Alligator mississippiensis: one gene and its partner. The protein of the gene in region 1 interacts with the protein of each later gene in a pairwise test. Links are inferred from orthologs where the notes say so. Each region holds a gene or a part of one and is shown in the gene's direction. Other genes may lie near its edges.

Region 1 (8,573 bases):
TTTGAGGGAAGCTGCAGCGATAAGGTTATTTTATTCGTAACAACTGGGTTGTTTTCTCCCTGTGATAAGCCAGGGGCCTTGCCTTTCCGTGCTTAAGAATTTCTCCAGTTTCTCAGAGTTTTATTGGCTGTTCCATAAAACCCTTTGATTCTTTTGGAAATGTGGATAATTTGAGAGGCCTCTTATTGGGTATGAAAATGGAAGAGGTAGCTGAAAGCAGCACTTTTAGTGTCTGCTTCTCTTTTATACATTTTAATTGCTGTGACAAAATATTCACTGCAGTCTGTTCTTTGGCCAAGGCTGGAGGAGATTCAGGATGGATGAGAAACCCAATGAAAGCCTGGGGTAGAGAAGTAAGGATGGGCTTTGGGGATTAGGACAAAATGTTTGAAAGAGAAGGGAGACAGAGTGGAGAAAATCTGAGGAGATGATATGGTCACAGTGCTCAGTGAGGAAAATGATCTAAAAGTTTCTGTGGATTGGAGTGCGGGGTGTCATGTTAAAGAAGCCAAAGAGGAAGGGGGTGCAAAGATAAGCACATAGGTTATCTATCTGGGAGAAAGGCCAGATGTGAGAAATCAGACGTTACAAGGAGCAGCAAGACTGCTTATATGGGGGGAGAGAGGGAGGAGTTGAAATTAAAAAGCATCTTATTTATTACAGTAGTGTCTAGAGATCAACTAGGTGTGGGGCCTTCCTGTGCCAGGCAGTGTGCAGGCACAAGTAGATGATCCTTGCTCCAGAGATCCTGCTGTTCAAGTAGACAGGCCCAGGGCAGGTGGAAAGGGTCAAACACACAAGCAAAGTCAGCAGCATGTCACACTAGCGTTGCAATTCTTGAAGGTTTTGGGATGGGGTTTTCTTGGAGGGAAATTAGCTACATGGAAAAATATGAGAAAGGAGAAGAGATACCAAAGGGCAACTAGGGAAGGGTGAAAATAAACCAATAGTCAGGACAGTTAAGGGAATACCTTCTTAAAGCTGTAGATGCTCTGATGGTGTCCAGAGATCCCTGTTTGAGCTGCTTCTGCTAGCATCAGTCTCTGGGTAGCTTCCCTTTGCCATCCCTTTCCTCAAGCCCTGTTCTATGTCCTAGCTGCAGGCCTGATTGAGAGGAGGGATGGCAGCATTAGCAGCAATACAGTGAAAGAAAGAGGCTTGGGAAGGAAGCCTATGAGTCCCAGAGGGTGGTGAGATGTTGAAATAGGGGGAGACTGGTGTGTGGAATGGGATGGTGGGAGGACAATGGGAAGAGCTGGGAGTCACCTGAGGCAAAGGGGAGGTAAAAAAGTCACATGCCATAAGAAGTGGCAGAAGTAGGCTGAAAAGAAACAGGACTGGGATGTGGCCCATCCCAAAATTTCCCCAGGGATAGGCAGAGTGAAGAGGGAGCATAGACTACCAGGAATATATGGAAACTCTGGGCCAGCGGGAGCCAACCTTTGTGGCAGACAGATTAAACCCCACGCCTTCCCTGAGTTCCACTCTGACCCCCTTCACCTGCTGCTCTGCTTTCTGCTCCCTGCCCTGTGCCCCCAGCCCAAACTGTTGCTCTACCACATGCCACACAGCAAACGGCCTAGGTCACTTGTGGCACACGTACCACAGATCAGTCTTCCCTGCTCTAGGCCTTCCTGTCAGCCTTTCCAGCTGAGCCACAGCATCTCTTGCCTCTTGAGCCCCTTCTCATTAATTTTATGATTTTTCCTTCCCTTTTCTTCCTTTGCTTTCTGGAGGACTTCAGTCTCTCTTACTGGTATTCCGGGCATGAGGACTCTTGCCCTTGGTTTCATGCTCTCTCCCAGTTCACAAAAACTTGGGTACTCAGGACAGTTTCCTAAGCCCTGCTTCTTTCCCAGGATTTCCTGGGCCATCTGCTCCCTGCTCACTTTATTTCCTCATGTGTCTCACCCTCTCTGTGTCCGTTCATTTAATGCAACTTTTCATTTTCATTGAATGTGGATGACAATGTGGGGGTGTCTTTCCCCCTTGATTTTTTTTCCTCCCTTCTTTTCTGAACATCTACATTTACCCCAATACAAGACGACCCTGAATTTAAGATGACCCCTCCCAACAATTACATTCTATACTTGAAAAATGTATAAATTTGTCATTATTTTCCATGTATAGAACCTAATTATTGGATGGTCATTCTAAATTAGTCCTCTCACCCCATCTCCCCACCGCTGCAGGGTGGCAGGCAGTGAGGGGGAGCAGGTAATGTGAGGAGGTCAAGCATTTTGCCCCCTGCTGCTTACTCCCCCTTCCCCTCCCTCCCACAGCTTCTGCTCTCCCCCCTGTGCCTCCCTTGCCTTTGCCCTGATGCCAGCAGGCTCCATCTCAGCTCCAGCTTGGGGCACAGAGCATGCCCCAGCTCAGCCCTGTAGGAGCTTTGCCAGCTCAGTACTGCTGCTACAGCAGTGGGCAGGGATCTTGCTCTATGCCCCAGGCTGGAGTGGGGACTGAGCCTCCTGGTGCTGGGGCAAGGATAAAGTGGTGGGGTGGGGAGGCAGGGAGAGAGACTGCGGAGGGGATGCGGGGGAAAGGGGCTGCAGTGGGGAGATGGCGGGGTGCAGAGGCAGCAGGGGACAGGCAGCAGCTGCTTACCCCTCCCACTGCCTCATACTTGATTCCAAGATGAAGGGCTCTCCGCAATTAAATGGGGGAAAAAAACCTCGTCTTGTAGTTGAGTAAATATAGTACTTCTCATTTCCCCTGGATGCAGAAACTCTTCTTTCTCCATGCCCTTCTTTGCCCCCATTCCTCTTCTGACAGCTTGAGTCATCAGTTTTTCTTCTGCTGCCCAAGTTTGCTGCTGCTGTTTGAAGCTGGTCAGCTAAGGATGGCTCGGGTGGGTATCCAGTGTACAAGAGCACACTGCTCACTCCCCTTTTACTACAACTCTACTTCAGCTTCCCCATGCATCTCTCCCTCTGCACCAGCTCCCTGGTACCAGCCTTCTCTTCTGGCCTGATTAAAGCTCACTTCATGTGACAGGGCCCCTTATATTGTGAAACACTGCTGTTATTTGGGATGGTTTTCTTTCCTTATCTGCTATATCCACCTTTCCTCTTCCTGCCACTTTCTCTACCCAGTCTCCAGATCCCTAATGAGGTGTCTTATTGCCCTGGCATGATAGTTAATTTGTTCTCTCAACTGCACATTCTCAGTTCATTTCCTCTCTCCCGTCAGCTGTTTCCCCATTGTCATAGCCTTCAGTCTGCATTTCTCTTCTCTGGGGTCATGGCCCTTTCTCCTGTAAGAAGTCTGTTCTTTCCCTTATTTCTTAAACATAAAATAAATGCGACAGCATCTCTCCCATTTTGGGCCAGAAACTTCCCTGTTTCTTCCAATTCTTATCTTGGAATACACTACAATCTCATTGTAATAAATCTTGATTGTTAATAAGCCACTGTTTTTTAATAATACCAATTCTTTTTTCTTTTCTTTTTTCCCACATTTTTATGGTGTAGCCAACTAACTAACCCTGCTGTAGCAAGCACCCTCTTTTAAAGATTTTTTTCTCCTGGCCCTGTGGTGGTTCATTATAAGGAGGTTGTACTGTATGCTGGTCCTCCCTTCCTTCATTTCATATACCTTTCATTGTGGCCTTTGATCAAGAAAGCTAGCCCCAACAGCCCATATTCAGGTCCACTTTGATGCTTTGAGGTAGCATTTGGACAGCTCACGTAGTTTTTTGAGCTACTTCCATGGATTTTAGGTGTGTAACTTGTAGAAAGGAGAAGGGGACACCCCACCTTTAGTCTATTGTTATGGCGCTTGCCCAGGAAGCAGGAGACCCCTTGCTCCAAGGGGGTTTGAACCTGCATCTCCCACTTCCCAGCTGAGTGCTCCAACCCCCTATGCATTGCCAAACACACTCTCCAGCCTCACTTCTGAAGCTGGCCCACTGGGCAACCAGAAGGACAATAAATGGAGGGAATGTGGCTCAGTGAGAAGGGCAGTACCCTAGAAAGGAGAAGGTGGTGGAGTCTGGTTTGTGCTCCTGGTCTTCCTTCGCCAATGGTGACTCAACTACACTTTTTATTTGATAGCCATTAGATGGACAGTAGTGGGATTGCTGTCTCTTGCCCCACTGGAGGCAGAGCCCTGTCCATCTAGGGTGGGATCCATTTCAGTGAGCTTTGTTCACACCCCCCCTGGCCCCACATATCTTACCTTTTTGGCTGCTGTGACAGGGGGCATGACAGGACCGGGTCTCATGTTGGCCTCCTACCTGTGCCCTGTCTTACCTGCCATGACTTGATATTCTCTGATTTAACAAGCGGGAGGCTGCCCATTTACTGCCCCAATGCCAGGGGTGCTATCCATGGCTCCATGCCTTCCCTATACTGTGGCCCATGCCTTGCAGATGGCATCTAGTTTGCTATTACAGCTCTGGCCTGAGATAGGGTCAGACTCAGTCCACTGTTGGGCCTCTTGCACACTACCCTATTTGGGGTCACACGCATACCTCCCGCCTCTCACTGGGGCCTCTTCCACTCTGCCTTTTCTGACCAGGCGTCTTGCACGCTGTCCTTCGCTGGGCCACACTCACTCTGCCCTACTCCTTTGAGCAGCCATCAGGCTTGCCTACTCTCACCTTGGCTGGCTGGCATACAGCCTCTTGGGTCTTCCGTGACCCTCATCCAGACAGTGACCAGCCAATTAACTGAACACTGAGCTGACTCTGCCCCCAGCCCCTCACTGGGCAACGTTCACAATATATTCACATGCTTATGGGGGTTGGCCCATGTGCTGCCCTTCTGGCTGTCCTTCAGCCCTACTCAACACACCCCCTGGTGCAGCCCTTCAGACTGGCCTTCAGTCCTACTCTACACCTTCCTTACGCGCAGTCCTTCAGGTCGTAAAGATGCCCCTACTCTGTGGGCCACACCTGCTCTATTACCCCCACTCTGGGGCTACTCTCCTGCCCACCCTCTCTGGGCCAACTCCCACCCCCTCCCTGGCGCCTCCAGTGCGCAAAGGTATGCCTGGTCCCTGTGCCTGGCCCTAAATCAAGGTATGCCATCAGGATGTGGGGGCTGGGGTTTTAAGGAGCCCCTCCCTGCCTTTTACCGGGGATGCAACTGGCCTGGCATTTCTGGGGAGCTTCCCCACCACGAGAAGCCCCACCAGGCCATCCTTTCCCAGCAGGGTACAGTTTCAAGTCATACCCAGGACCAGGAGCCTCCCAGATGCCTGAACATGAACATTAAATTTCTACGAGTGGTGGCAGCTCAAAGCCTGATAATTATCTAGATCATACCATGGGTGTGAACTGTTGGCTTAAACTCCCCTCAGGGTTTTGAAATATTTTCCTTATCTTGTCAAGGGTTTGGTATTCATTTTTATAAACTACTTGGGACCATTTCTGTTTTTGAGTGCAAGCATTTAAGTTGGAAAGTAATTTAATTGCCTTGGAAAAAAAAGGTCTTTCCCATATTGCATGTTGGGCTGGCTTGCTTACTTGCTTCCATAGAAATAAATGTGTTACAAGGCATTTCAGCAAATGGGTGATGGTCTAATACTGCCCCCACCCGGTCCCTATGTGGCAGGATTGGGCCCCATGCCACCCTGCATGCCGAGTCTAGCATCCAGGGTCACAGCCCATGGAACTCCCCACAAGATCTGTAGGGAGCTGTATGGACTGGATTACACAGCACTGAGGGCTGGATCTGGCCCTCAGGCTGAGAGCTGAGCACCCCATATCTAACAAGCATTGTTGGCACTGTAGCTTTGGGTGTGACCTTAACAACCAGTACATGCCCTTGAGCTCAGTGTGACTCTCTGTGGGTGCACGGATTCACTTGGGCAGTTTTCTATGGAAGATGTGGCTGGTGTGGGTTGAATAAGATATCCAGCATAGCTTTGCTGGTCTACAGAAGCTTACTGGGACTCGGTGCTCCCTTCTACCATGCTGCTGTGCCTGGCCTGCTATTAATATTTATGAGAAATGTGAACTCTCTGATTCATAGCGTGGGTAAGTATCAGTCAATGAGTCTCTGATTTATTTTAGCTCTGCAGTCGTCCAGGCTTTAGCACAAGGAGTGAAGAAAGCAGACTCAGACCCTTCTGTGAAAGCTGTTGTGATTTGTGGGGCAAATGGGAAATTTTCTGCAGGTAAGGCATTTTTCTTCAGGTAGGTATGGATGGAGAGTTCCTGTTTATTCTTTGCCCCTTTGAAGACTCTGGAAGCTTTTCCCTTTAACTGATGGGATCAAGATTTGACCCACAGAGAAGCAGTCTGTGGGTCATATGACTTTACTGGTAAATGGTAGAAGCTGCAGTGCACACCTGCATGCACCCACTGAGTCACTACTTTGATGTCCCATGGAAGTCCTGTTACAGTCACTACAGGTATCCTGGTGACAAATTCTGCAGTTCTTCAGAATAGCAGCAGGGTCTGGGGTATTTCGATGCTTGTATTATTCTAGCCATTCACCATCTACAGGAACCTGATGTATCTTTAATGTGGTGTTTCTCAGAAATTGACCATATAGGATCCTTTTTCACCTCCTTACCCATGGTTCACGCTCCCAATGGGTGACACTAAATATAAGACGTATTTTCCTTTGTATTTGTAAACAGGGGCAAAGGACGGAGCCCATTGCAATGAGCCCATTGCTTGGGAATTACAGTAGTGTCGTGACATTGATTTGTGATTACTGCACACACTTATAGTTATTTAGCCTATACCCCAAAAGACAGAAAAGGCTAATAATAGGTTTTGTCACATAGGGTCCTGGACACTGTGCAGGGGTTTGATTAGTTTTACCTTTCTTCACCATCTTTGACCTGCTTGACAAGCCTGGGAATCAGGATTGCTGTCTTGCAAGTTCAGGTCTGACTTGGACTCCATGGTATTTCAGCTGGGTTGAGTTGCCTAGAAGGAAGGGGCGTGATAGGCAATCCTTTCCCTGCTGTGTTTTTTTTTTTGTGTGTGTGTGGGTTTTTTTGTTGGTTTTTTTTTTTTACAGTCTAAGTTCCTCTGTGTTTCATCAGGTGCTGATATTCGAATGTTCTCCTCCCTCCCGCCAAGAGACAGACCTGCTTTGGCAGAAACAGTCTCTCTGATAGAGAGAAGTCAGAAGCCAGTGGTGGCTGCCATTGAAGGCGTGGCTTTGGGAGGAGGCTTGGAAGTAGCACTGGGCTGTCATTACAGGATTGCACATGCACAGGTAGGATGTGATGGTAACAACAGAGTTCAGCAATGGGCCACAGGTACGCAAGGTCAGGTTCTGTACAGGGGTGCACGGAGTACAACAGGGTGATCTCTCACCTTGAGGTTTTCGCAGGAGCCACAGTAAGGCCAGAGGAGAGGCTCTCATCTTACTGCCTCATCTGCATGCCTAGGACTTCACAGTATTTGTTCAGACACCCCCATTCTTCACCTGCTTTTCCACCACTTCCCTGTATGGCTCACTTGCAGCTCACTCTAGGTCAGTGCTGAGAGCTGCCTGAGTGCTCATCCCATGATTTTCCTGCCCTGAGGCACAGCTGACATGGGCTCCCTGCTGCACTCTATTTCCGGGCGTTCAGGATCAAGGCTGATGCATGCTAAGCAGTGTTGGTGCTGTTGTAGTACTACACTGTTATTTTTAGATCTGCACAGTTGGAGACAGCCTGTTCCTGGAGGGGCATTCACTAGCTTCTGCTGAGTTACCAGGACACAGCCCTGGAGCAATACTTCCATGTGAAAATGCTTGTCTGTTAACGTGCTGACTTTAAACCAATCATTAAACACTTCAGCCTTCCCTTAAGAATGGCATTAATGGTTTTTGGGCATTTTGTCATTTTAATGAGGTCACTGGGTCACCAATTAATTAACCCCTCCCTCTAGCCTTGTTGTATCTCAGCAGAACACTGTCTTTTCCATCACACTATTGGGATTAGTGGGGAAATAGCAAAATTTCTAACCAATAATCCAGGCAGATTTTGGTACACTACTGGTGATGTGGACAATGACATCAATAGCTTAGGCAACCTTAACGTTTCAGTTCAAAAGGACCTTTTCTAGATGCTGTTAGCTCTTGCGTATTTCTGTGTTGTAAGTCTGACATGTTCATGGTTGTCTTCAGCTAAGGAGCACATTTTAAATTTCTTTTTTTGCTTTGCTTTCTTTTTTTATTTTAGGCCAAAACATTTTTTGAGTAAAAACTGTGAAAAAATACCCTTCTGCCATTATAAACACATGTTGCTTACAGAAACAGTGTTAAAAGGAAATTGTGATAATACATTCTAGCTTTCAAAGATTAGGAGTTGCCAGAATTAAGATTATCTGTACAACAAGAATCACCCCCCTCATACAGAGGCATGAATAATACTGTTTTGCCTGGCATTTCATTGTCTGTGCCATGGCCGGGAAAAGAGTTAAGCTCTCCCGGTTCCCATCCAGAACATGGGGGGGGAAAAACATTTGCCTACATCCTAAAATAGAGGATTGAGGGATAACTCAATGATAAGAGCTGTTGTTTGTATGGTATTTGCTAGTTCCCATTACAACCAGCAGATACTACTTCTGTGCCTGCTTCCTCTCTGGGGTTTTAGTCCTGTGCCTATCCTAGGAGCCC
Region 2 (7,760 bases), on another chromosome or scaffold:
CAGCACTGTCGAGGGGGGATCGATGCCTGTCCCCAGCCCACAGGGGCAGGTCTGTCCCTGCCCCCACCCATGGCCAGGGCTCCTGTGGGGCAGGCTGGGCGCCACGGCTGTTCCAGGCAGCAGCTGGGCCCTGCACGCACGGCGGGTGAAGCCCACAGGGCAGGAGGTGAACCGAGTCCCGGGCTGCTGGCGGAGGCTGAGAACGGAAAAACTCATCTCAGGCCACTGGCCTGGGAGATTCCCTCCCAAACTGTCCCTGCCCTTGTCCCTGGGGGCCCAGGCTGCAGGCGGGCCGGCCCAGGTTGCACACACCTGCTGGCACAACACGGGCACGGCGCCGGGCACCGACACGGACACGCCTGCGGCACGGGACAGGCCACGGCACCGGTCCAGGGGCCCCCCTGGTGGACGCAGCAAGGAACTGCCGTGCCCGGCCCCAGGCTGGCCGGAGCGGAGGAGGTCCCCCATGCGGGCTCCTTGCCCCGGTGCATGGTGCATGTTTGGGGGCTCCCCTCCTGGCGCTGGCCAGGCCCAGCTGGGCACCGCTTGCAGCCAGACTCTGTGGAAACCAGTGCACCCAGTCCCATCTGGGTGCCTAGCTGGTCGTACTGATGGAGGGAACTGGTCCCACTGCCGGGGGGGCCGTGTGGCTGGATCTCAGCCATGCAGAGGGGCCCGATCCAGGCATGAAGCCAGAGCAAGTTCCCTGCCGTCAGTGCGCCCCGTCGGGGTCCTGCCGGCGCCTCCGGTGCCCAGCACCCGCTCTCACCAGTACAGACCAGCCTAGCGCCAGTGCTGATGGGTGTCACCTTCCAGACCCCCCCGCAAGGAAGCAACCTGCTGTTTCTTGGCACTCCCCAGCCCAGAGCTGGTGCCCCAAAGCGGGCAGAGCTGGGGGGGTTCTTGTAGCCGCGGCCCCGCATGGGGCAGGAGCTGCCCTGGTGCGGCAGCATCGAGGCCGGGGTGTTGCTGCCCCCATGCAAGTGCTGGGAGGGCCCGTGGGTGCTGCCCACGTGGCTGCAGCGAGGTGGGGGGCAGCAGGTCTGGGGCTCGTCGTGCATCCAAGGGGCTGGGGGGCTCAGGGAGGCTTCCTGCCCCCAGGCTGTGGAGGGGCTCCGTGCCCACCCGTGCTGCACCAGGGCGGCCCCCATGCCCCAGTTCTCCCCGTTCCCAGGGCAGGGCAGGGCGCCCCTCCCCTCCTGCTTGCCCCCCCAGGTCACTGTGTCCACAGGGGTGCAGAGGAGAGGCAGGGCCACGTGGCACCCCTGTGTGCAAGCTCTGGGTTCACCCCCATGCACAAGCTGTGCCCGCACGCCCTGTGTGCCCCCGCCCGGCTCCCGGCTTCGGGGAGCCAAAGTCCAGCCCCGGCACTGCCCCGGCTGTTCGCCGCGGGGCGGGAGCCGGGGCAGGTTTCGGAGCGGGCGGGCACGGCTGGGCCCGAGATCACCAAATATAGGCATGCACTGCTCCCGCCGGCCCACCTGGCCGGCTCCACCTGCTCCCTCCCCGTCACGCCATGCCTGGTCGTGACACATCCCGGGTGCGGCTGGTACGACTGCCTCCCCGTGCCCTGGGGCGGGGGGGCGGGGGGGAGGCAGAGCCGTGCCCCCCAGGCTCTGCCCCCACCCACGCTCCAGCCCCTCCGGGAGACAATGTCACCCAGCCTGGGGGGGCTCTGCTGGCACTGCCGGAGGGAACCACGCTGGAGCCCCATGAACCTGCACTTGACCTTGCCACCTGGCCGGGCCCTGGGGCGATGGCGCGCGGGGACCGTGGGCGTGGGAACCCGCCTGGCTTGCTCGCGCCCCGAACGTCAGAGCCCTGCAGGGAGCCCGCCCGTGGCCCAAGGGGCCTTTCCCTGGGGGAGGGGTAGAGGCAAGACCCTGCAGCACCCCCGCCCCGCCGGGTACGTGGCACGGAGCCGGTCACCCACGGCTGAATGCCCGTGTCCTCCTCGAGAACCGGGAAACACCGGGAGAAACCCACCTCGGGGGCAGCAGGGCATCCTCCCCGGGTGGACCAGATCCCCATGCCTGGATATGGGGGCCGGCGCGGAGGGTGGCTCCAGAGCCAGCCCAGCCGGAGGAGCCAGGGGCTGGGGGTACCCGGGCCTGGCTCCGCATAACCTGGCCCTCTCCCTTGCCTCCCCCAGCGTAGGATGGACTTCCCCTGGGATTAGTCATCCACGCCGGGATCCTGCCTTGCTCCGGCATTGGCTGGGCTGGGATTTGCTTCCTAGTTTGGGCATCGGGAGAAGCCCGGTCCGGGGACGAGTCACCTGGAACCCCGGGGCTTGTGCAGGCCGGGCCCCCCCATGATGAGCGATGCCCGTTTCCTCTGCCTGGGTGATGAACCCGCTCCTGCCCCCGGGCATCGGGCACCCTTAGTCGGGGAAGGGGGGGCCCAGCTCCTGCTCCTCCTAGCCTTCCCCCGCAGCTCCCCGGGGCCCGGCCGTGGCCCAGCCCCTCGGCCCCGCAATGAAAGACCTCATCTGGGCAGAAACTTCCCGCTCCGCCTCCCCAGCTGCCTGCAGCCCCGGTGCCAGGAAACGCACCCGCCGGTTCCTCCTCCCGGGCCTGCCGGGAGGGGGGCAGGGTTTTTTTGCTGCTTAAAGATGAGCTGATCCGGGCCTGGCTCCCCCGCTCGCTGCCGCGGCGCACAGTCACCGCTGCCTTCGCTCATGGGCTTTGACGTCAGGGAGCAAATGTTTCCTGCTCGGCAGCGAGAACAGGGATGGGCGCTGGGCTGGACCGAAAGCCCTGCCGGGGCCTGGTCCCTTCCCCCAAAGCGGGGCTTGAAGCCAGAGGTGCAACGCCCTAGGGCAGATGTGGCCTGCTGCGTCCAGCTGTGCTGGGGGCAGGTGGACGCCCTCCCTCTCCCGCTGCTTCCCGGTAGCCCGGGGCCAGCGCCCCCGGCCCATCGCACCGGGTCGAGATGCCCCAAACACGGCTCGTAAGCGCCACGGAGGTGCCGGGGCTAGTCCTGGGGTGCGCGTCCCCCGAGCGAGTGCTGGCCCCTGGGCAGGCCTCACTGGCATGTAGGCCCCGAACTCCTGCTGCTGTCCAGGGGACTTAGGAGCCCCGTTGAGCACCGAGCCTGGTGATGCGGCATCGTGCACCCCAATGGCCTGGGCTGCCCCGAGCTGGCCGCGTCCGGGGAGACTCGTGCATTCAGCCTCTGGTCGCAGCTAATGACAGGGGAGGTCTCTCCATGCTGACCCCACGTGCTTGTGGTGGCCTGAGTAAACCCGCCCATCCCAGCGTTTGCCTTCCTGGAAAGAGTCGGTGCCCCAGGACAACCGGGTGGCCCGTTCCACCGTCCCTGCCCGGAGCCCCGTGAAAGCTGCCATGGGACTCAGACACCCACGGCGCTTGCGTGGCAGCGGGCCATGGAGCGGTGCAATCACACAAGGGCCGTGGCACTTGGGTCATGGCGCTGGTGCCATGGGGCCTCATGCTTGGTGGTGCTGGGCACGGGGTGCCATGGGAGTGGGGTGCAGCGTGGTCCCAGGCACCGTGGGCCCGGAGATGCAGCACGGGCCCAGATGCTCCACGCCCAGGGTGCAGGACGGGCCCAAATGCCCCATGTCCGGGGTGCTGCATGGCCCAGGTGCCCCACGCCCGGGGTGTCACATGGCCACATAGCCCAGGGGTGCTGCATGGGCCAGATGCCCCATGCCTGGGGCGTCACACGACCCAGGTGCCCCACGCCCCGGTTGCCCTGTGGCCCAGGTGCCCCATGCCTGGGGTGTCACACGGCCTAGGTGCCCCATGCCTGGGGTGTCACATGGCCCAAGTGCCCCATGCCTGGGGTGCTGCATGGCCCAGGTGCTCCACACCCGGGTGCCCCATGGCCCAGGTGCCCCATGCCCGGGGTGCCCCGTGGACCAGGTGCCCCATGCCCGGGGTGCCCCGTGGCCCCCAGGAGCCGGGAGCAGGTTCCGGGGCGGCAGCTTGGTTCATGCAGGTTCCGGGGCGGCAGAGGCGGGGCCGAGCCCACCAGCCGCCCCACGTGGCCGGGGCCGCGCCAGCCAATGGGCGCGCGTGTTCCTGAAAGATCTCCATATATGGCGATGTCTCGGCCGGCGAGGCGGGGCCCGAGCCCGCCGGGTATAAAAGGGCGGGGCGGGCGAACAGACGGTCTCACTCAGCCGGCGGCAGCGGACCTAGCAGCAGCGCTTCCCCCCCGCACCGAGACCAGCCTCCTCCGCACAGGTACAGGGCTCCTCCCGCCGCGGGCCGCTCGCCTGCCTCTCGCCCCTCTTCTCGTAATGGCGCGGAAGGGGCTCATCCCCCTAGGCGGCCGTTGCCGCGCTCTATAGCGAGGGGAGGGGAAAAAATGGTTCGGTCCACCTGACCCCCAACCGCCCGCCGTTGGAATGGGCGCGACCGGCTTTTCTTTCACCCCCGCGTGTTGGGAATGGTTTCGTCCACCCGGGCGATTTGAATGATGCCAGGGGCGGGGGCGTGATTGGCTGGACCGGCGGGTGACGTCACGCCGCGGGAGATTCGAAGGGAGGGGAGCGGCGCGGCGCGCGGGCGCCCCCTGCGGGCAGGAGAGAGGGAAGCTGCGAGGAGCCGGGCTCCGGGGGAGATGCTGCACCCCGGGGTGCTGCAGGGGGGTGGGGGGGCTGTAGTGCTGCCCCCTCCCTGCAAGCTGCAGCAGCGCCTGCTGGAGCACCCCCCCACCACTCTTTTTTCTTAATGCATTTTAAAAAACGCAATGCAATGCATGATGGGGGGTGGAGCCCTGAGCTGGGTGGGGTGCTGCGGGGACTGAATCCTGCTTGGCAAGGGGCCTGCTCAGCACCGCTGACCACAGGTCTCCTCATCTTCCTCCCAGATCCTCCGCAATGGAAGAAGAAATCGCAGCGCTCGTCATCGACAATGGCTCCGGGATGTGCAAAGCTGGCTTTGCAGGAGACGACGCTCCTCGGGCCGTGTTCCCCTCCATCGTGGGGCGCCCCAGGCACCAGGTCAGTTGGGCGGAGACCAGCCCCGAGCGGCGCCGCGGAGCCGGTCCAGAGCCGCGGCCCTAACCTCGCCCCTCCCGTGTTTGTCTCTTAAAGGGCGTCATGGTCGGCATGGGTCAGAAGGACAGCTACGTGGGCGACGAGGCCCAGAGCAAGAGAGGCATCCTGACCCTGAAGTACCCCATCGAGCACGGCATCGTCACCAACTGGGACGACATGGAGAAGATCTGGCACCACACCTTCTACAACGAGCTGCGCGTGGCCCCGGAGGAGCACCCCGTGCTGCTCACAGAAGCCCCCCTGAACCCCAAGGCCAACAGGGAGAAGATGACACAGGTAGGGGCTCCCCACGGGAGCAGCCGTCGGCGCCTCCATCCCTTGCGCAGCACAAGCCCTCTTCAATTTTATGGCATCTCCTTAAACTCGCCTTTTTCTTTCCCTGTTCCAGGGTTCTGTTCTCCTCCTGGCATTTCCTTCCTGAAGTCTCAGGTTTCTTTTTATTTGTGTATTTTCTGCCTGCGTTCTTTGCCTTTTTTTTCTTTTTTTTTTTTTTTCCCCTCCCCTTTTCTCCACACATCCCACTCTTGCATGCCAGCATGATGTGTGATCTAATTTGGATTTGAGTGAACCAGCTTGGGATGAGGCTTCTTGTCACTGAAACCACGGTTTTCTTTCCCTTCCCCCTCATAGATCATGTTTGAGACCTTCAACACCCCAGCCATGTACGTTGCTATCCAGGCCGTGCTGTCCCTGTACGCCTCTGGTCGTACCACTGGTATTGTTATGGACTCTGGGGATGGTGTCACCCACACTGTGCCCATCTACGAGGGCTACGCTCTGCCCCACGCCATCCTGCGTCTGGACTTGGCTGGCCGGGACCTGACAGACTACCTCATGAAGATCCTGACAGAAAGAGGCTACAGCTTCACCACCACGGCCGAGAGGGAAATTGTGCGTGACATCAAGGAGAAGCTGTGCTACGTTGCCCTGGACTTCGAACAGGAGATGGCTACAGCTGCTTCCTCCTCCTCCCTGGAGAAGAGCTACGAGCTGCCTGATGGGCAGGTGATCACCATCGGCAATGAGCGGTTCAGGTGTCCAGAGGCCCTCTTCCAGCCATCCTTCCTAGGTAGGTGTCTACCAAGCACGTGCCTGGAACGTGTCAGTGCCAGGGGTCATGGGTCTGAGTGCAGGGGGCAGGGGCTGGCGGCGCAAGGCTTGAGTGGCCAGCTGTGTGCTGACCTGGCAACCTCTCTTCTCCAGGTATGGAGTCGTGTGGCATTCACGAGACCACTTTCAACTCCATCATGAAGTGTGACGTAGACATCCGAAAGGACCTGTATGCCAACACAGTATTGTCCGGTGGTACCACCATGTACCCTGGCATCGCCGACAGAATGCAGAAGGAAATCACAGCCCTGGCACCCAGCACAATGAAAATCAAGGTAGGTGCAGCCTCCGGGGCACGAGCAAACCCTCTCTCGGATGCCCAGGGACTTGGGAGGGGAGGTGGCCTCCAAAGCTCTGGCTCTGCGGCTGACTTGTCTTTGTTGCCTTGCAGATCATTGCTCCCCCTGAGCGCAAATACTCTGTCTGGATCGGCGGCTCCATCCTGGCCTCCCTCTCCACCTTCCAGCAGATGTGGATCAGCAAGCAGGAGTACGATGAGTCCGGCCCCTCCATTGTCCACCGCAAATGCTTCTAAATGGACTGCGAGCAGATGCCCAGCATCTGCTGCATGAGTATTTTTTTCACTAGTATATGTTTGCCCAGGCAAATCTATACACCTCATGCTAGCCTCCTAAAACTGGAATAAGCCTTCTTTCAAAGAAACTTGCCCTTGGAAAGTCTGTATCTGATGTTAGACACACGTCAGCACTGTTGGATTGTCAAGCTGTCGCTGATTTGACCTTGTATTCAAGTTCCTTGTTCCCTTGGTGTACACTCTCTAGCAAAATACCCTGTACACATCTGACCTAGACCCTGGTACAGGTGCAGTCACTAGTGTGACCCTGCTGCCAAGGTTAATTTGTGTTTGTGGAAGAGAATCTGCCAAGGAGCCTGTAGGGCTCCTGGCTTTGCTACTATTGATGAGTGACACTTGCCTGGAGCCTAAGCTCGTGGGCCGGAGACTAGATCTGTACAGGGTATTTGAGGTCAGACTCCAATCTGTAAAGCGCTGAGTATTCCAAGTTTTCATGTAGAGGCTGGTAGGAGTCCATCAAAGAGTTCACTTCTGTTGCTGCCGTTCTAGCAAGGTTGGAAAAACATATCACATCCAAGCCTTAGGAGCCCGTTTCCATCTTCCCACCCACCTGTATCCCAGCAAGACATCACACGGGGCTAAAAGTTAACTCGACTTGAGTTGCTGAAACTCTGCATTTACACCTGTAAATTTCTGCATCCCGTTTAATTTATGTAAGATTTTTTTTTGTACGTTGCCTTAATGTTCTCACATGACAGTAGAAAACCAAAACTTGTAAGTCATCCCAAGGTCGAGAATTGTAATGCCCGACAACACGTCATTGTAAGGAAAATAAAAGCGCTGCAGTAAATGACATGCGTGTGCTGTCCTTCCTGCTGTGCTGGCCCCTGCTGGGTGGGGGAGCCTGTGTCAGAGGGAGAAGCCTTGTGTCCAGGTCTGAGACAAGGGCCCAGCTCCCTTCCCAAGGGAAGCTGGCAGCTGCATGACAGGAGTGCAGCTTGCTCTGCCTAGTCTAAAAGCAGACACCTACCTGCTGAGCAGGTGTCAGCAGTGATGGAGCAGGCATGGTGGCGGCCGGCCAGG

Evidence for each region.
Region 2: the proteins of EHHADH (region 1) and ACTG1 interact in binary tests that used the Homo sapiens proteins (3 or more experiments, as listed by UniProt). The two-hybrid records come from large-scale screens. The link is inferred for Alligator mississippiensis from reciprocal best matches to the Homo sapiens genes EHHADH and ACTG1.

What each region holds. Positions count from the first base shown.
Region 1 is NC_081830.1:29,982,428-29,991,000, reverse strand, and holds the start of EHHADH (peroxisomal bifunctional enzyme), read left to right. Parts: upstream 1-4,873; coding exon 4,874-4,988; intron 4,989-5,988; coding exon 5,989-6,123; intron 6,124-7,005; coding exon 7,006-7,181; intron 7,182-8,573. UniProt on the Homo sapiens protein: Peroxisomal trifunctional enzyme possessing 2-enoyl-CoA hydratase, 3-hydroxyacyl-CoA dehydrogenase, and delta 3, delta 2-enoyl-CoA isomerase activities. Catalyzes two of the four reactions of the long chain fatty acids peroxisomal beta-oxidation pathway.
Region 2 is NC_081831.1:1,811,225-1,818,984, reverse strand, and holds ACTG1 (actin, cytoplasmic 2), read left to right. Parts: upstream 1-4,131; 5' UTR 4,132-4,214; intron 4,215-4,842; 5' UTR 4,843-4,852; coding exon 4,853-4,975; intron 4,976-5,068; coding exon 5,069-5,308; intron 5,309-5,662; coding exon 5,663-6,101; intron 6,102-6,235; coding exon 6,236-6,417; intron 6,418-6,533; coding exon 6,534-6,677; 3' UTR 6,678-7,530; downstream 7,531-7,760. UniProt on the Homo sapiens protein: Actins are highly conserved proteins that are involved in various types of cell motility and are ubiquitously expressed in all eukaryotic cells.